Pelodiscus sinensis: one gene and its partner. The main gene of each other region encodes a partner of the protein of the gene in region 2 in a complex. Links are inferred from orthologs where the notes say so. Each region holds a gene or a part of one and is shown on either strand. Other genes may lie near its edges.

Region 1 (10,357 bases), on a different chromosome or scaffold from region 2:
ACTTGTTTCTGTACACCTGTTCTGGCTTTCCTAGAAGAGGTCAAAGCCTCACCATAACCAGGAGATCAGACTTACAATTTGACATATATTACCCTCAGGCAGTCAATTAAAACACAACAAGTATTCTTCTTACTACTCTAACCCAGTTAGATCCAGCCAATTTCACCCTGTTAATTCTCATATCATTCATTAAATCTAGAGACCAGTACATAAAAGTTTCCAAATCCTTGATCAATCAAACATTACAATCCAAAACCTATAATTTGTTATTACATTCAATACCTAAATAAGAAACATTTATGGAAGCATAGGTGAACAAACACCAGCCAAGAAAGGGGAAGGGTTTTTGTTTTTGTTATTTTTTGTCAGGGAATGATCGTTCCATACATACACTTTGAAATGGAAGGAGAACTAGAAAGGGAAAGGGAAAAGAACAGAGTGAGTTTTTTAAATTCCTTTTAATTAAGAAATAAACTCCAAATATATTTCTCATTTAACTGGTTAATTTTTAGGTCAAAGAAGAACCGTGCTAGTTAGTGTCAAGCACTGAGATATGGTCTAGGATTAAGATCTGGGCATTAATATTCCTGGCTGGAATTTATACTAATAGATCTCTAGGGTTGACTTCAACCAATTTCCATTCACCCTTCTCCAACCCCACTCTAAGTGCCTTTTCCCCTCTTTGGATGTTATGCATTTTGTTCTTGTCTTCTCCCTTTCCCCATTTTATTTGTGCCAGTCTCTCTCCTCCCTATTTCTTGCTTCTCTTGCCCCTCTTTGCGGGAAGACTTTATGATCCACTTGCCTTCACCTGCAAAAGGACGTGCACTGCAGCAGTCCTCCTATATAGGCTTTACATAGCTTCCTCTGGAGTCCACTGATAGAGCTTCTTCATTCACCTGAAAGTCATTGTTAGAGAAATAAAGTATTGTTGCCACCCCAAGCAAAGGGTGCAAGAAACCAACTGGTCCTGAACATCAGGCTTCACTAGACCATCCCCTTTTTCTGTCCTTGCATCCCTTTCCTGTTTAGATCTGATTCCCCTCTGTAGTCCTACATTCGTAAGATGTTACTTATGCAGCTGCCTACCAGTGGTGGGTAAGAGAATCAATAGCAGAGTAAAACTAATGAAAACCTAATTGGTTTTGTTCTGTGGTTCTTCTAGACCTTGGGGAAAGCACAAATGCATCACTCTAAAAGAATCTGAGTAGGTTAGGGTAGAAACATAAGATTCATGCCAATGTTAAACTCTTGTGACCCTCTAACAATCTCCAGCTTTATTTCATGCGGTGCTGTAGCATGCAGTCTAGGTGTGATCACACCCACCATTCATCAAACACTGAAAACTGAAGCCTGCCTACAGAGTAAGATAAGTAACTCCAGGTTTTCTCCCCAAATACTGTATGGCTTGCTATATATTTCTTTGCAGTATATTTGCCTTCTATTCCACAGGGTTAAAAAAATTAGAACAATGAAAACTTTAGGAAACCACATCGGGGAGGGAAGGCAAGAACCCAAATTATCTTGTTCTGGGGATTCTCAACCTTTTTTCATAATGTTATCCCTAAATTCAATCCTCCTGTAAAGCACCTCAGAAAAGGTGGTGTGTTGAAAGTGGCAATAAGGGCCTTAGAATAAGTAGGGGAGGGGATGTTCCTAGCACTTGAAACTGACTGGTTGCAAGTGACTTATCAAACTGACTTCAGCATAAAACTGGAGACATGAATGGGAGCAGGCTCACAACCCCTCACTCCTCTGAACAACTGCTGGTGACCCCTAAGGGAGTCATGAGTCACAGGTTGAGAACCACTGCCTTACCCTATAGGCAGTCTCCATTCTCCAGTGCTGATGAATGGTGGGTGTGACATCACCAGCAAAGGGTATGGTGGAGCACCACATGGGAGGAAGCTGGCGACTGCATGTAACTGTTCTTGCAGGACCTGAAAACAAGGTGGGAAAAATATAAACTACAACAACAAAGGGTGCTGAAATATGTTATATTATTTATTTGGGGCATTTATAATCTATCCCATAAATTGCTTTCTTTTGCAGGTCTATTAAAATCTGAGTCCTTAAACTATCACGAAACAAATCTTAAAAATCCAAAGGCGATGTGGTCTAATATGGTTTTCATTTTGACTCTATAGACTTTGGGGTAATTAAACCCCAAAGTCTGTAGAATCAAAACGAAAACCATATTCAAATGTGTAAAGAAACCTTGCTGCTTTCTGCCACAAGAGGATATGACAGGAAGACCCAACACAAACTGAAATGCAACATTCATGTTTCTAATTTATTTTTCTAATCTTTATACTATCATTGGGTGGGGAAAGTTAAATGTTTCAAAAATATATTCGAAACAACATCTTGGGCCAAAGTCAGTTCTTATTTACTTTATGTCCCCTGCAATCCTTTAGGGATGTAAAATTCCGGTTAATCAGTTAACCAGTTAAACATTAGGTTGACCTAATGTTTAACCAGTTAACTGACTAAGCAGGATTGGTGCCTGCAGGACTCCCATGCCCAGCCCTGTGCTGGGGCTGGTTCCTGGGGCTGCTGTTGACTCCCAGGGAAACAACCCTTACCTGCGTGGCATCCAGGCTCCCCATGGACAGAGGCTGCTCTAGACGAGAGTAACCCCTCTCTGTGGTGGGTCCCCGGTGGGGCTGGAGCAGACCCTACCCACAGTAGGAGGAAAGCTGTTCCCAACCCCTGGTTACTGGTTAACCATAGCCCATTTAGGGTGATGCTTACTGGTTAACCAGGTAATCGGTTAACCTTTTATATCCCTAATCCCTATTGGTATATAAAATCAACACAGATTCTGATCCTGCAGCCATTTTCAAAAACGAGTACTTAAATGTACGCTCCTAAGTCCACAGGCATAAACTAGGCCTGATTTTCAAAACTGCTGAGCACATAAAGCTTCTGTTGGCTTTAGTGGGACCTTTTGGATGCTCAGCAACATTTTTAAAATCAGGCCTTGTATTTAGGTCCCCAGTATGGAGTCAGGAACCTACTTTTAGGAACTCAATTTTAGAAATATTGGCTCAAATGTTTAATTGGAACCATAAGCTGCAAACTTGCCAGCTTGTGTAAATACTACAATACAAAGGATGAGATCCTCCACTGTACTAAACTCTTTCCCATACCTTATACCTAGATAAGTGGTGGCCCATGGACCACATGGAGCCCACTGGGGTTGTATGGCTACGGCTACACTGTAGCCTTCTTGAGGAAAAGCTTATGCAAATGAAGCACAGCATGGAATATCACCGTGCTTTATTTGCATAATTAATTAGCAGCTGCTGTTATGCAAGAGGCTTTTGCACAAAAAGGAGCTTTTTCAGGAAGAACAGCTCTTCCACAAGAGGAGTTTTTTGCACAAAAAGGAGCCATCTACACAGCTCCTTCTTGCGCAAAAGGCTCTTGCGCAATAACAGCTGATAATTAATTATGCAAATGAAGTACAGTGATATTCCATGCCATGCTTCATTTGCATAAGGCTTTCCGTAAGAAGGCTACAGTGTAGCTGTAGTCTTTGTGTGGCCCACAAGACATTTTGTTTACCATTGCCCATGCAGAGGGTTGCCAGATTCCTCTGGTTTCCATCCACATAGGGTTTTTTTTCCCTACCACTATTACTAAAGTGACACGCATGTAAAGCCAGAGCCTGCTGATTACATACAACATTGACTGTAAGAGCCATGTGCTCCCTCTGCATCCAATCAAAGTGCTGCTACGGTTCACTAGGCACACCCCACAAGTTCTATGTAGTTAGCAAAACTACCCTATCCTGGGAGGCTGTCTTGTTACGACAATCTTGTGGCCCACTGAAACGAAGGAGGGCCACTCATGTGGCCCACTCACTAGCCTAGGCTGTCCATTGCTCTCCTATATGCTGGGGGAAGGAGTAGATGGTTGGACAGCTGATCTCCCCCTTCTTTGGGGAGACAGAATATCCCTATATGCAGTGCAAGGAGACAGTAGATTAAGCTCCTCAGACCACTGCCTACAGTGTTTTGAATTACATCTCATGTTTATCTTCACATGGGTCTTTTAGTTCACCCACTTCCAGATCTCAGCAGCCTCCAGCGAGGGGATTAAACAGGAATAAGGATAACCCTAACTTTACTCTCCAGTGCACCTGGAGAGGAGGCTCCCCTCTTCCTTTCCCTTCCCTCCCCCCCATTCTGATCTGGCAGCAGTGGGTGTTGTTGGCTTGTGTCCCCCTCCCCTGAAGCCAGCATGCAGGTCAGCGAATACTTACCATATTACAGATGGAGGCGATGTTTCTGACAGTCATTAGTCTAAAGGTTGCAGTGATCCCACACCGCCATCTTTAGAAGGTGAAAAGAGAAACGCTCATGGTCGGAAGATCGCGGGGAGGGGGAGAGGAGGAGGGTCCGAGGTTACGCTGGGAGGGAAGCAGGCGGAAGGGGGTAAAACAGCCTCTAACACCACCCCGCTTCTCCCCGAGCAGAGAGACAACTAGCAGAAAGCGCCTGGATTCTCGCAGCCCTAGAGCCGCCGCCGGCTGCTCCTGCGAAGGGCTGACCCGCAGATTTCACCGTGCGGCGCTAGCAGCGGCCCTCCCCCTCCCGCCGCTCGCTCCCCCTTAGTGCATGGGGAGATCAGCCGCGCCTCTGTGCCAGCCGGGGCCGTGTTAATCTCCCCCTTCCTCCGCCTTCCCTGGCGGCCGCTCTCCCCGCTCTCCGCTCCATTGCAGCGCAGCGCCCGGTGATCAACTTTGACAGCGCCGGGGAAGGGCAGGGCAGCGCTGGTAAGTGGCATGCAGCGGCACCAACCCGCAGCGCAGGCCCCGCCGAGGCGGCTGACGCGGCAGCCAATGCGGTGCATGGGAGGGGAAGGCGACGGGTCACGCTCCCTGCTCGGCTGCTGTTTACCCGGCTGGTGGTGTGCGGAGGGGCCGCGGGACCGGCCGTGCTGCCCTCAGCAGGCAGATGGGCCGGGGCCGCGCTCGGGCCCAATCAGATCCCTTAGCTCTGGCACGCACCAAGCGAAGCCCCCGCTGGTTTCAGAGGGGTGAAGGGCTCAGGCTGGGAGCCCCAGGAAGGGCGCCCCAATCCCCATGTGCATTGGTGCTGTGACAACCGAAAAGCACAGGGTGGATCTGAAGCAAAATGCAGGACGATGTAGCACTTTAAAGACTAACAAGATGGTTTATTAGATGATGAGCTTTCGTGGGCCAGACCCACTTCCTCAGATCTGCTGAGCCGTGTGGGCCGGGGAAGAGGCCTTTGTTTAGATCAGGCGCTCTCAAACTTCATGGCACCAGACCGCCTTTTGACAATAACAATTATTGCAGGACCCCCGAGGGTGGAGACTGAAGCCTGAGCCCAGCTGCCCTAGGTGGCAGAGCCAAGCCTTTCCCAGTGCAGGGACCAAAGCAGAAGCCCAAGTTCTTCAGCTCAGGCAGAGGGCCTGTAACTTGAGTCTGAAGACCTTGGAGTTTGGCTTGGGTCGCAGGCAGTGAGGCTTGGTCTTTTGGCCTGGCTGGAGCCCCCGGATAGTGTGAGCCAGCTCTGGTGACCTCATTAAGGGTTGTGACCCTACTTCCTTGTCTCAGCCCACAGCTTGAGAACCACTGGATTAGATTTATTTGCAGCTTGAGCTGAGTTGTTTGTGATGTGTGCTAAAGAGAAATACTTCTTAGCTGACCTATAAGGGCCACAGAACTATACAGTCTACAGACATTTGTGTGTGAAATATCTATTATTTGCTATTGTTTTGAAGGCTGTGGGAGCAATATAGTTTGTGATGTATAGCTGTACAATGATAATTGCACAATCATTGTACTATATGTAACATTTAGCTTTACAAATTTGATAATTTAATGAGTATGCAGGTGTGCACACATTCATGTATATAAATGGCTCACATGCTTTCTAGCACATTCTATCCAAGGATCTAAGATCATTTTACAAACATCAATAAATTAAGCCTCACAACACTCAGCAAGGGAAATTAGCACTGGTATAACAACTTTGCAGATGAGATAACAGGTAAAGAATGTTAAATAACTTGCCTAGGTCCACATAGCAAGTCTGTAGGAGAAGCAAGAATACAATTCAGTTATACAGGCACCACATCTTAGACTTTAACTCTGATTGTCCTAACACACATTGTAAACACTATCACCAGAAACTCCCACCTGTCTGTCCAAGGAGTGGTTCAAATGAAAAAGAGAACTTTTAAAAAGAAACTATACTCTGCAAACAATTGTGCTGTGAAGACATTATTCTCTATGCACTGATTCTCAATAAACAAACAAACGATCAATACCCAGGAAATTAAGTATAGCAAATTTGAACTTAGATGCCTTTTTGCCTGCATCTTGATACTGGCACTTTCAGTCTGCAGAGGCTTGAACCTTGCAGACCTTGTTTAGGCAAAACACCCTGAAAGCAAAAGGAGTTTTTCCAGAGTAGTGAGTGCAAACAGCAAAATCAGGCCTTAGATCACTAATTAAAATCTGACACCAGTCAACTGTGACTGAAAGATGAAATCTTACTATCAGAATGCCAGTAGGTGATCAAAGTAAAATAAGTTGCTGGCCTCAGTCCAGTTCCTAGTGGATAGGTGCCACACTACAAATGTCACCATCAAAATTAGCACAAATTGGCAGCCTTAGCCAAGGCCAAGGATTGGGTTATTGTGGAGACAAGGTAGAGTGAGGCAACCTACACTTGTAATCTCCACTCCGTGGATAAAGGGCCAGCACTGTGCTTTCAGGCCATCTCCTTCCACAAACACTAACTTAACCTGATAAAATGATGTCACAAACACTGAAACAAGTAATCTTAAATGTAATTCCATTGATTTTGTGTTGTTATGCTACTGAATAATTTGGCCCCTCATCGTGAATTTCATTAAACTTTGATTTAAGGATTTTCAATTGCACTAGCTCTGCTTGGCACAATTAAGGGAGGTAGAGGAGAAATAGATGTACCTTTCTGCACCCCACATCTCACTCCAAGAGCCACTGAGGCCTGAGTTAGCCTCCAATTCTCATTAGAGCAGCTGGAGTAAAGTTCTAATACATACCAGCTAATTACAGCCATTTGAGCAGCCCTAGATCCCTGGCAGGCTCTCTCTCCTTTGTCCATGCCTTTCTCCTCCAACCCTCACTCTCTCTCCTCTGCCAGCAGACTGAAGTAGTTATATAGGTTTGAAAGCAGGGTGAGACAGAGCCAGTTAGGCCAGTCCCTCAGTAAAGAGACATGAGAAGGCAGTTCTGGGTGAGAGGAACAGGTCTAGCTGATCTCATATATGGGTACATCTACACTTGCTCCCTAGTTCGGACTAGGGATGCAAATGCAGACGAGTGAAGTAGCTAATGAAGCCGGGATTTAAATATCCCGTGCTCCATTAGCATGATCTTGCCGGTGCACTAGTTCGAATCACAGCTGATTCGAACCAGGAAGTGCGCACCGGGACGCGTTAGTTCGAACCAAAGCCCTTGGTTCAAACTAACATTACTCCTCATTTTTTTGAGTAACGTTAAAAAATTAGGAGTAATGTTAGTTCGAACCAAGGGCTTTGGTTCGAACTAACACGTCCTGGCGCGCACTTCCTGGTTCGAATCAGCTGTGATTCGAACTAGTGCACCAGCGAGATCATGCTAACGGAGCGCGGGATATTTAAATACCAGCTTCATTAGCTACTTCACTTGTCTACATTTGCATCCCTAGTCCGAACTAGGGAGCAAGTGTAGACGTACCCACAGAAACCTCAGGGAAGAGAGATCTCTACTTATCACAGATCCTGATGTGAGGGTCAAAAGCACAGAGGCTATTTTAAATAGACTGTTGTATGGGGATTAAATAGTGTTTGTGGAGAGGACTCAAATAAGTGGCACTGTGAATTCACAATCAGTAGTGTCTGTGCAGTTTCTGTGGGGCAGGACATTGCACACACAGTGGCTGTGTCTACATTGGCATCCCTTTCCGGAAAAGGGATGCTAATGAGACACTTCGGAATTGCAAATATCCCCCGCGGCATTTGCATTTACATGGCTGCCGCTTTTTTCCGGCTCGGGGTTTTTGCCGGAGAAAAGCGCCAGTGTAGACGCGATTCTCCGAAAAATAAGCCCTTTTCCGGAGGATCCCTTATTCAAGTAGGAAATATCCTTGAATAAGGGATCCTCCGGAAAAGGGCTTATTTTCCGGAGAATCGTGTCTACACTGGCGCTTTTCTCCGGCAAAAACCCCGAGCCGGAAAAAAGCGGCAGCCATGTAAATGCAAATGCCGCGGGGGATATTTAAATCCCCCGCGGATTTGCAATTCCGAAGTGTCTCATTAACATCCCTTTTCCGGAAAGGGATGCCAATGTAGACACAGCCAGTGCAAATAAATTACTGATTGCCACAACTACACAGCCCAGATAGAGTGAAACATCTTTAAAAATAGAAACTACAGGTTGGAACTTTCTTAACCAGGGATGTGAAGGGCAACAAGACAGGTTTCTACAGGCATGTTAGCAATAAGAGGGTAATCAGAGAAGGCGTGGGGCCCTTACTGGATGAGGGAGGTAACCTAGTGATAGATGATGTGGGAAAAGCTGAAATACTCAATGCTTTCTTTGCCTCTGTCTTCACGGACAAGGACAGCTCCCCGACAAATGCACTAGGCAACGCAGTATGGGAAGGAGGTGGACAGCCCTTGGTGGGGAAAGAACAAGTTAGGAACTATTTAGAAAAGCTAAACATACACAAATCCACGGCCCCAGATTTAATGCATCTGAGGGTACTGAGGGAGTTGGCAAATGTCATTGCGGAGACTTTGGCCATTATCTTTGAAGATCGGGAGAGATCCTGGATGATTTCAAAAAGGCAAATGTAGTGCCCATCTTTAAAAAAGGGAAGAAGGATAATCCAGGGAACTACTGACCGGTCAGCCTTACCTCAGTCCCTGGAAAAATCATGGAGGGGATCCTCAAGGAATCCATTTTGAAGCACTTGGAAGAGGGGAAAGTGATCAGGAATAGTCAACATGGATTCAAGAAGGGCAAGTTCTGCCAGACCAATCTGATTAGCTTCTATGATGAGGTAACTGGCTCTGTGGATATGGGAAAGTCAGTGGATGTGACATGCCTTGACTTTAGCAAAGCTTTTGATAGGGTCTCCCACAATATTCTTGCCAGCAAGTTAAGGGACTATGGATTGGATAAGTGGACTGTAAGATGGATAGAAAGCTGGCTAGACTGTTGGATCCAATGGGTAGTCATCAACGGCTCAGTCAGGTTGGCAGATGGTTTCTAGCGGAGTGCCCCAAAGATCTGTTCTAGGACTGGTTTTGTTCAATATCTTTATTAATGACCTGGATGAGGGGATGGATTGCACCCTCAGCAAGTTCACAGATGACATTAAGATAGGGAGAGAGGTAGATACGCTGGAGGGCAGAGATAGGGTCCAGAGTGACCTGGACAGATTAGAGGATTGAGTCAAAAGAAATCTGATGAGGTTCAACAAGGACAAGAGTAGAGTCCTGCACTTGGGATGGAAGAATCCCAAGCATTGTTACAGGCTGGGGACTGAATGGCTAAGTAACAGTTCTGTAGAAAAGGACCTGGGGATTACAGTGGATGAGAAGCTGTATATGAGTAAACAGTGTGCCGTTGTAGCCAAGAAGGCTAATGGAATATTAGGTTGCATTAAGAGGAGCATTGCCAGCAGATCCAGAGAAGTGATTATTCCCCTTTATTTTGCTCTGGTGAGGCCACATCTGGACTATTGTGTACAATTCTGGGCCCCCCACTATAGAAAGGATGTGGACGCATTGGAGAGGGTCCAGCGGAGGGCGACCAAAATGATTAGGGGGCTGGAGCGCATGACCTTTGAGGAGAGACTGAGGGTATGTCTACACTACCCCGCTAGTTCGAACTAGCGGGGTAATGTATGCATACCGCACTTGCTAATGAAGCCCGGGATTTGAATTTCCCGGGCTTCATTAGCATAAGCGGGGAGCCGCCATTTTTAAATCCCCGCTGCTTCGAACCCCGTGTAGCGCGGCTACACGGGGCTCGAACTAGGTAGTTCGGACTAGGGTGCCTATTCCGAACTACCGGTACACCTCGTTTCACGAGGAGTACCGGTAGTTCGGAATAGGACCCTAGTCCGAACTACCTAGTTCGAGCCCCGTGTAGCCGCGCTACACGGGGTTCGAAGCAGCGGGGATTTAAAAATGGCGGCTCCCCGCTTATGCTAATGAAGCCCGGGAAATTCAAATCCCGGGCTTCATTAGCAAGTGCGGTATGCATACATTACCCCGCTAGTTCGAACTAGCGGGGTAGTGTAGACATACCCAGAGGGATTTGAGTTTGTTTAGTCTGCGG
Region 2 (10,196 bases):
ATGGACACATGCTAACATCCTTATTGGCAGGGCTCGACGATCGTGGCAAAAACTACTCGCCAGCCCCGCACTGCACATGCGCGAGACCCGCACTGCACATGCACTACACATGCACTAGTTCTTTCACAGTTTTATTTAGTATGTACCATGGTTAATTTAAGTTATTTAATTGGAAAAGATCCAATTGCAAGCAGTTACCTAAACCTGAGGAATGAACCCTGCTACTTCTGAAGACACCAGCAATTCCTTCCCTAACCTCAACAGAAACATGAGCAGAAACTAATGAACAAGGCCTTTTTAAAGACTGCTTAACAGGTATGAAGAGGTGATAAAATTAAAACATTATTTTTAACCTAAGTTATACTGCAACTTTAAAATGCAAACTTCAATTTGCTTTAGTTAACATACCTGAGCTATAATTATAATCACTGGTTTAAACTAAACTTTATTTCTCCTGATCATTCAAGTCATATGTATATATTAGGAATGTTGAGTATGGTTAATTGAATAACCTCATCAATTCTTATCTGTTAGCGGACTATTCTATAGTCCCTGGGGGCAGAGCAGACAGCAGCACAGGGTTCCAGGCAGGAGCTCCTGCACAAGTGAAGCCAGTTTAAAAACCAGCTCCTCTTGTGGACCAGCTGCTTGTCACCTTGTGCTGCTGCCTCTGATAAAGTAGCCCCTGTCTGTGTGTAGAGGGAAGAGGGTGTCTGAGCTCCCAGGCCCAGCACAAACTGGAACTGAGCCAGGCTGCTCCTAATACACTTTAAATGCAGAGCCACAGTTGGGGTAGGCCCTGCACCCAGCATGAGTCAGGCTGCTGGCCAGCCTGTTAAAAAAATTACTGTGGGGATGAGGGAATGAGTATAGTCTAGCATTAATCTATAAGCTTCTGCTGATCAGTTAATCAACTACATTATTACATCCTAGTATATACTACACACTAAACTATACCCAAAAAATCCTACACCTCACTTCCAAGTGTAAATTCAGACTTACATTGTTCACCAGAAGCAGCTGCTAAAATTGAGTTTAACATTTTCCCAGCATAAACACAGGTTAAGTACCCAAGTTTAATCAGTCTTGGGTAACTAGTATTGACTAAATTTTCTCTAATCTAGACAACTTTAGAACCATGCTGTAAGTGAAGTTTACAGCAGTTTATACATATTTATTTTAAGAGTGTTTTACATTTCTAATTTAATTTACCATTGAGCTCTTCTTTCTCTCCTTATATACCACAGAAAGAAGCAGTAGCAAGTTTTGTAACAAATGGCCCTTTTCTTTATGAAAATTATGTTAATCATTCCAACAGCTGTAATTGTCAGCTGAGAATCTTCTCTTCCCTATGCTAATATCAATTTTCTACACAAAACCAAAGGAATGGGCCCCAATCTGCAGAAGAGATCATAATGATTTCAAGTTCATTGATATTTCCAAATACATTCATAATGTAAACAATAATCCAAGTATCTGTCCTGAAGGTCTTACTGGTAACATTTCTTTGACCAACTCTAACAAATTCTGTTCTAAACAGCTAGTATATTTTACTATATTATCTGAAGAGTTTATAATATGCCACAAAACTCTCAGACATCCAGCAAATAGGTACAGTTTCAATTATTATTATACCCCAAATACAAAGATAAATACTGTTTTACCAAAGATATTGAAAACTATTAGAAGAATGCAGATAAATACTCAGAAACTGTAAAATTGCTCAGCTCCCTGTTTTTATGGCACATTTTCAGCTTCTAGACTTTTCTTTAAGTGAGATAAATGACTAAAAAAGATTTTGGTAAGAGTCACATGTAGAGCTGCTCTAAATAAAACAGTAGCAGAAGTTTGCAATTATTCTATACTGAAAACTAAGTACAAAATAATAGACTCGTAGCTGTCACAAGGGGGTTAGAAGATGGACAGATTTTAACCATATGAAATATCCTCACTGACTCATGTAGAAAGGCCACTATATGGACTATAATACTTCTGCTTTAAAGACATTTGTTCATAAGAATGGGCAAATAACTGTTCAATATCAACCACTCTAGGAACTTAAATATCAAATCAGTATTTAAATTTAATTCACAATTACTTAAGCCATCCCCAAATTATCAAGACTCGTAACATATTAAGTTAAATAATGTAAATGTCAACTCAAGTGTGCATATGCACTTGTTTCATACAACTAAACTCCTCAAGTTGTGCCTTTTCAGTTGTTAGACATTACCAACTGATCCTTACTAGACTCTGCAGTTAGGTAGTGCTTACATTTTACATGCATTACCAAGCAAGAAAGAGTGGGTTTGAGCACTCACCTGGAACTCCGTAAACCCAGGTTTAATAACTTGCTATCCTACAAACTTCCAATGTGACCTTGGGTGAATCACTAAATCTCTTTATGCCTCAAACCCCATTTCTAAAGTGGGAATAATAATTCTTCCTTTCATTTCAGAACTGTTAAAAGGATATACACTTTAAAGGATATAGTTTAAGATGCTCACATATTGTAGTAATTGGAAGAGAGGGTTCATATGTACCCAAGATAAATAGATAACATCTCAATAGACCTTCCAGATTAGTTATGTTTATATTTATATATATTAAACATGACACTTGCTCAGTTGGTGATGCAAATTATCAGAAGGAATCACATAGTACCAAGCAGTCAAGACAGCAATTACATATATTTAAATGGGGATTGTTTGCCAACTATTAGACCTGCATCATCAAATATTCACAGGTTGGGAGCCATATTTGGAATTAGTACTTCTCTCACAAAGAAAGCTTTTATAATATGTCATAATTAGAATTATCAAATCTCAGCCTTTAAAGTACTCAGTTCACTCCACTAGGCCTATCTAGAGATGGTCATTTAAAACATCAGACCTCTAATTTTTCATTTTGAATGTGAAATATTTCTTCCTGACCAAAATAAAACTAAAACCCCACCCTAAGAGAGATTTGGCAGCCCCGTGCTAATACCATACACCCTGCAGAGAGTGTCCTATAGTCTTCAGCCTATAATAGCCGGTTACATTACCGAACCTACTGCCTCCAGCCAAAGAAGGGACTATACAAGGAACATACTTTAGCCGGTGAGTTAAAAATTAAACTAGTTTTTAAATGTATTTCTGGGATTACAGGACACGGTTGCCAGCCACAGCAAGGGTCTGCACTCCACGACCCAAGAAGTCCCTTTCCAGTCATATGGCCTTTAAGTAGCCCCCAACACTAGTCCCTTTCAGGGATCTCCCCTCACACCTCTACCTGAGGCCTGAAATCCTGTTCCCCACAGCCCGGCACCATGCACAACCCCTTGTTCTGCGAGCAGGCACAGTTCTCGGCCACAAAGCGCCTCCGCTTGGGAAGGCCCCACAACCGTGTGGGCACCCTCCACCCCCGCAGAAGGGTGCAAAGCCCGCTCGCTGGCCTGGCGTCCGGCTCCCCCGGCCCTCGCAGGTAGCTTCCCGGCCCACACTGCAACCAAGCAGGTCCCCCCGGCACGCCCCCCGTGCTCCGAGCAGCTCTGGCCCCTGGCCTCTCCCGCCCCGCGGCTGCCCCGGTACCTTGCGGACCCCCTTGTAGATGTAGAAGTAGAGCTCCCGGCCCACATTGAAGCAGAGCCGGTCGCCGTTGCCGCTCTGGTCGTTGACGTTGACGAAGGAGACGCGGACCGGGTTAGAGCCCTGGGAGTTGAAGGGCACCCGGTTGGGCCGGCTGTACTCCGAGTGGCTCAGCAGCTTGTACAGCCCCTCCCGGGTAGTGAACTGGGTCTTAATCTCGTTCATCTCCTTCCCTCCTCCCTCCGCCGCCATCTTGGAAAGGAGCATTCATCCTGCCCCAGTGCCCGGATGTGCCCCCACGGCGCAGGCGCAGCCGCTCAGTCGCTGTACCCCAGGCTCGACGCGCAAAAGCCGTAAGGGGGAGGAGCGAGTCCGTCTGTTTACTGCGCTTCTGCGCATGTGCCAGCTGGCCTGAAACCTGGGCGGCCCCTCGTGGGGGAGAGGGGAGGAGCCTTCTCTTGGGAGAGGCAGGGCGGGGCGGGCCTTCAGGCGAGCGAGCGGGGCTCGCCCACGGAGAGCTGCTATTGGTTGTCAGCGCAGGAGCTGGCTGTCAGACCTCTGGCGAGGAGGGCAGTGTCTGAAGGAGGGGAAGTGGTGCTGTGGACAGATGGGGGAGGGCTTAGGTACTGGCATGAAGGGTGCGGGGTGTGCTGTGGCACCCCCTCGCTTTAAGTGGTTCCCATTATATCCAGGGCTTACAGTGTGGTTCAATGGCTCTCAGCACCTTCACCAGCGTCCCTGCCCACAAGCAGGGTTTAATGCCTTGGGCTTGGGACTCCAAAGGGTGATTTAGTTCTGGGGCAGGGTTTTAACAGAGCATCCTGCAGCATTCTGAGGTGCTGGATAACTTACCACTGTGCACCATGTTTGTTCCTATCTTAGAAAATTGTCAGCTGTGAGAGTCAGGAATACTCTTGAGATTCTTGCTTGCTGTGACCCTGGACAATTACTTCATCTCTCTGTGCCCACATTCACCTCCTATGATTGTTCTCACTAATTTACAGGGCAACATTAGGCATCATTATTGAATAAATATACACCTATCAATAGGCATCTAATCAAATATAAACCAAAGGGCCCAGTTCTCATGTGCCCTTTGTTGCCACTCCAGCAGCACATAGAAAGAAAGGTGCCTTACATTAGGCAGAAATGGCCACAGGGGAAATTTGCAGCCAGCAAGAGGATAATAGAGTGTTTCTGTGCCAGCTGCTCTCCCAGTCCTGGTTTGTCTTAGCATATCCTGGGTTATGGAGCCACCTGAATTTAGTTCCTGGCATAAATTAGAGCAGTGCCAGATTGTTTTAATGTTCACTTTTGCAACAGCCTTAAATAGCTGGGTTTCAGTATGCTCCAATCATGACTCCTCCTACCATTGACACTCCCTCTCTTCATCCTGAATATGTATGCATTGGTCTGCAAAGAAGGGCATTTTTGGATCCTATGCCACTAGAGTAAACCCTCTTATGCTGAGGGACCCTCCAGTGTCTGATTCTCCCAGCCTCATGGCACCTCTCTGCTGGCAAAGCCCAGATTCAGGGCTTGGTATTGCAAACATGCAGAAATTCTATGTGCAGAAATAAACTGAAAGAATCAAGGCCAAAAATTCCAAATAGAAATACCACCATCTTAAATACACAGTGAACGCAAACTGATAAGTCAAATGCTTTGAGATTCTCAAATGAAAGGCACTGTAGAAAGATATAGGATTATTATTTTAGATGCATGATGCATGATAGTCAAACATATAACAAACAATGAGGTTATTTTTGTGAATTAGGGGATATCTTTTTTAAAACACTCCAAATGGGTTGTAAAATTTTGCAGTCTTCAAAATGGAAAGTGGATTGGTTGATAAGGTATTGCTAAGGTAGCATCCTTTTTCACAGTGCTCCCAGTGCTACTAAAGCATCTGAATTGCTACTCTCATTACCCTTTTTTAATAATAGGATTGTGCTGATCTTGCCCTTACATGTTAGCTCTGCTTGTACTGTAGGTTTAGAAACAACACTGTTGTGAGGTATAAGTGATTAATAACACCTTCTGAAATGGCATATAGGAAAAGCAATCTTTTCATGCAGTTTGGCAAGAAAGCTAAACTTGTAAGCATTCAAAGTGTTTATTATCTTTTATTGTTAAATTACAGAGGTAGCAAGTTACAACTGAAACCTGCCAAAGCAAAAAAATTAACATCTTAAAAGAAATCATTCTCTAGGAAACATTTTACAAAATTATCTTTATTGGACTCAGATTCCCCAACTATTGACATAAAAAAAATTGGTTGCCTATTGCTTGTAATGGTTGTTCTTCGAGATATGTTGCTCATGTCCATTCCAAGGTGTGTGTGTTATTGCATGCTGAATGTATAATCATCAGAAGGTTTTCCCTACTGATACCCATCGGATTGGCTGTGGAACTCCCTAGAGTGGTGCCCTTATTGTGGTACATATAGGTTTGTGCCAATGTGTCATCTGGTCAGTTCCTTCTTGCTGGAAGACTCTGATAGAAGAGTTGTTCAGTATTGATTCATTGTTATTGACTATAGTGTTTCACCTGTTGTGTTTTTACAATATATATATTTCTGTTAAATTTGAAAGTGAGTCTGTGTTTATTGGAATCTGTAAAATCGACCGGTGATTAGATATGGCAGGTTCCAGGACGAACCCTCTTCTGAGACAAAAGCATTATATCACCATTCCAGATCAGGCCCTATATTTAATAAATTCTATTCTGTTAGTGTGCCTTTGCTAACAGGAGGGTTTTGTGCTTCCCAGTAAAACTTCCCTAACCAAGTCTGAACACCGCAGCTCAATCTGGTTCAGCCATGGAGTTTCCATGCCATGAGGTGGAGAAACTGACAGGTTCAGCAGCCTGGGGAACTAGTGCTGCTTTGGCCCCGCTGGTGCTATAAGGATGACTGAAGCCTTGTTCTGCTGGATTTGAGGAGGATCTTGTGTATCATAGAATCATAGAACACTAGGACTGGAAGGGACCTCGAGAGGTCATCGAGTCCAGTCCCCTGCCCCCATGGCAGGACCAAATACTGACTAGACCATCCCTGATATATATTTATCTAACCTACCCTTAAATATCTCCAGAGATGGGGATTCCACAACCTCCCTGGACAATTTATTCCAGTGTTTAACTACTCTGACAGGAACTTTTTCCTAATGTCCAACGTAAACCTCCCTTGCTGCAGTTTAAGCCCATTGCTTCTTGTTCTATCCTCAGAGGCCAAGATGAACAAGTTTTCTCCCTCCTCCTTATGGCACCCTTTTAGATACCTGAAAACGGCTATCATGTCCCCCCTTAATCTTCTCTTTTCTAAACTAAACAAACCCAATTCTTTCAGCCATCCTTCATAGGTCATGTTCTCTAGACCTTTAATCATTTTTGTTGTTCTTCTTTGGACCCTCTCCAATTTCTCCACATCTTTCTTGAAATGCAGTGCCCAGAACTGGACACAATACTCCAACTGAGGCCTAACCAGCGCAGAATAGAGCAGAAGAATGACTTTTCGTGTCTTGCTCACAACAACCCAGAATCATGTTTGCTTTTTTTTGCAACAGCATCACACTGCTGACTCATATTCAGCTTGTGGTCCACTATAACCCCTAGATTCCTTTCTTCCGTACTCCTTCCTAGACAGTCGCTTCACATTCTGTATGTGTAAAACTGATTGTTCCTTCCTAAGTGGAGCACTTTACATTTGTCTTTATTAAACTTCATCCTGTTTACCTCAGACCAATTTTCCAATTTGTCCAGATCATTTTAAATTAGTGGAAAGGGTATTAGTGGAAAGGGTGGGAACATGTACAATAAAGACCTCTTTGTGCTTTGCCACATCAATGACAAAGGGCCCCTGCTGAGGGGGCATGAAAAGATGTTTGTAATCTTTCTGTGGCATGAAATACTTCTTCTCTGCCCCATTAGCTATGGGCAATATGGAGGCTGGGGTCTGCCATAGCCCCTTTGTGGTGGTTTGAATAGGCTTTACATGAGTCAAGTCTACCCTGGAAAGACCTTCTGGAGCAAGAATGTCCACCATCAGGTCTGAGTCTTCTGTTATGTCATGTCCACCACTTGGAGGTGTACATTTTGGCTCACTCTTCTGAGAAGGTCTTGGTGTACCCTATTGTCCATCACCAGGAGTATGGTGGTACAGGTATCAGCCACTGCTGCATTCAGTGATGAGGATGAGGAGGCTCTGGAACCCTTCAATGTTTGAGGTCCCAGCATATAGTGCTCTTAGGGATAGATCTCTAATGGAGAACTTGGCTTGGCTTCTAGCACTTCTGGATGGGGAACCTTAATGGAATCCTTCAGGGAAGCCAGTTCATGGAGGAGTACACTACGTTTACCACTCTGAAAGAGGAGTAGACCAGGGGTAAGAAGGTCAGGAAGCTGCACATGTTTTGCAAAGCTGGTTCAGTATTATGAACTAAAAACAGTTAAGAGGAAAGCTATAATAGGAAAAGATAGGACTGCCTATGTATAGGGCCCTACCAAATTTACTGCCATAGAAAAAAACATCACAGACCATGAAACCTGGTCTTTCCCATGAAATCAAGTGTTGTGTGCTATTACCCTCTGTTATACAGATTTAATGAGGGGAGATCAGTATTTCTCAAATTGGGAGTTCTGATCCAGAAGGGAGAAGCAGGGGCATTTTATTTTAGGGGCAGATCACAATATTCCCACCCACACTTCTGCGCTGACTTTGGAATTAAGTGGCTAGAGAGTGGTGGCTGCTGAAGTAAAGGTGGCAGTATGATCCCATCCCATCCTTACTTCTACATTGCCACTGGTGGCAGCTCTGCATTCACTGCTGGGCTCCCAGCCAGCAAGTGCCATGCTCCAGCTGATCAGCTCTGAAGGCAGTGCTTTCAACAGCAGCAGTGCAGAATGGTAGCAGAACTATGATCCACTTGCAACATCTCCCCGTCGGCTGACACACACACAACTCTTTTTCTTGGTTATGACTCGTACAATTACTACACTGTGAAATTTCAATTATAAATAGCTGAAATCATGAAATTGACAATTTTAAAAAATTCTATGATCATGAAATTGACCAAAATGGACTGGTATTTCTCTACCTATGTACTGTATGAAGAATAGAAACCATACACACTTGAACAACCATATAAACTGAGCCATTAGCTATCATTGTTGAAAAGTCATGGAAGATGGGAGAGATTCCAGAAGACTGGAAAAAGGACAAATATAGTGCTAATCTATAAAAAGGGAAATAAAGACAACCCAGGAAACTATTGACCAGCCAGTTTAACTTCTGTGCCAGGAAAGATAATGGAGCAAATAATTAAGGAATCCATCTGCAAACAGCTGGAAGATAATTAGGTGATATAAGCAACAGTCAGTATGGATTTGTAAAGACCAAATCATATCTAATTAACCTGATAGCTTTCTTTGATAGGATAACAAGCCTTGTGGATAAGGGGAAGTTGTAGACATTGTATACTTAGACTTTAGTAAGGCATTTGATACAGTCTTGCATGATCTTCTTATCAATAAACTAGGGAAATACAACATGGATGGGGCTGCTGTAAGGTGGGTGCACAACTGTTTGGATAACAGTTCTCACAGAGTAATTATCAATGGTTTACAGTCATTCTGGAAGGGTATAACAAGTGGGGTTCCACAGGGATCAGTTTTGGGACTAGTTCTATTCAATATCATCTTCAACGATGTAGATGTCATAGAAAGTACACTTATAAAGTTTGTGGATTATACCAAGTTGGGAGGGTTTGCAAGAGCTTTGGAGGATAGGGTTATAATTAAAAGTGATCTGGACAAACAAGAGAAATTGTCTGAGGTAATTAGAATGAAGTTCAATAAGGACAAATACAAAGTACTCCACTTATGCAAGGACAATCAGTTTCACACATACAAAATGTCTACAAAGGCATACTGCAGAAAGTAATCTAGGGGTCAGAGTGGACCACAAGCTAAATATGAGTCAACAGCGTGACATTTGCAAAAAAAAAAAAAAAAGCAAACATCATTCTGGGATGCATTAACAGGAGTGTTGTTAAGCAAGACATGAGAAACAAATTCTTCTGCTCTTCTCTGTGCTGATTATGTCTCAATTGGAATATTGTGTCCAGTTCTGAGCACCACACTTCAGGAAAGATGTGGAGAAATTGGAGACAGTCCAGGGAAGAGCAACAAAATCATTAAGGCCTAGAAAACGTGACCCATGAAGGAAGAGTGAAAGAATTGGGTTTGTTTAGCTTGGAAAACAGAAGACTAAGAAGGGAACATAACAATTTTCAAGTACCTAAAAGGGTGTTATATGGAGTAAGGAGAAAAATTATTCTCCTTAACATCTGATAGAGGTATTTAAGAGGAAGTTAGATAAATGTTTATCAGGGATGAGATGGTGCTTGGTCCTGCCAGGAATGCAGGGGACTAGACTGATGACCTCTTGAGGTCCCTTCAGTTCTAATATTCTATGATTCTATGATAAAGATAAATTAGTTTTTAAAACTGTCAATTAGATCTTACTATCAAAAGAGAAAAAAGCATCATAACTAGAGATAAGACTAGCATGTTTCTCAGTTTGTCAGTTTTTTGTTTAAATGATCTAAGTTTCATAGAGAAGAAAAA

Evidence for each region. Proteins that work in one complex are often made in the same cells at the same time.
Region 1: the proteins of WDR20 (region 2) and USP46 are in contact, whole or in part, in a crystal structure (PDB 6JLQ), measured with the Homo sapiens proteins. The link is inferred for Pelodiscus sinensis from reciprocal best matches to the Homo sapiens genes WDR20 and USP46. Residues at the interface, in NP_653175.2 of Homo sapiens: Asn41, Ser42, Gly44, Arg151, Lys259, Tyr261, Phe262, Gly263, Glu282, Asp283, Asp284, Leu285, His301, Lys304, Ser305, Trp306, Gln374, Asp375, Thr376, Leu509, Arg516, Met517, His533, Glu534, Arg535; in NP_073743.2 of Homo sapiens: Asn205, Thr206, Ser207, Thr209, His210, Arg213, Arg273, Val275, Phe276, Pro277, Glu279, Leu280, Arg281, Phe283, Asp293, Met295, Gln338, Glu342, Tyr344, Thr347, Ser348.

What each region holds. Positions count from the first base shown.
Region 1 is NC_134715.1:86,481,805-86,492,161, reverse strand, and holds the start of USP46 (ubiquitin carboxyl-terminal hydrolase 46), read right to left. Parts: upstream 4,750-10,357; 5' UTR 4,307-4,749; coding exon of another isoform or gene 4,271-4,306; intron 1,941-4,270; 5' UTR 1,900-1,940; coding exon 1,819-1,899; intron 1-1,818. UniProt on the Homo sapiens protein: Deubiquitinating enzyme that plays a role in behavior, possibly by regulating GABA action. May act by mediating the deubiquitination of GAD1/GAD67.
Region 2 is NC_134714.1:22,293,594-22,303,789, forward strand, and holds the start of WDR20 (WD repeat-containing protein 20), read right to left. Parts: upstream 3,873-10,196; 5' UTR 3,837-3,872; coding exon 3,573-3,836; intron 1-3,572. UniProt on the Homo sapiens protein: Regulator of deubiquitinating complexes. Activates deubiquitinating activity of complexes containing USP12. Anchors at the base of the ubiquitin-contacting loop of USP12 and remotely modulates the catalytic center of the enzyme.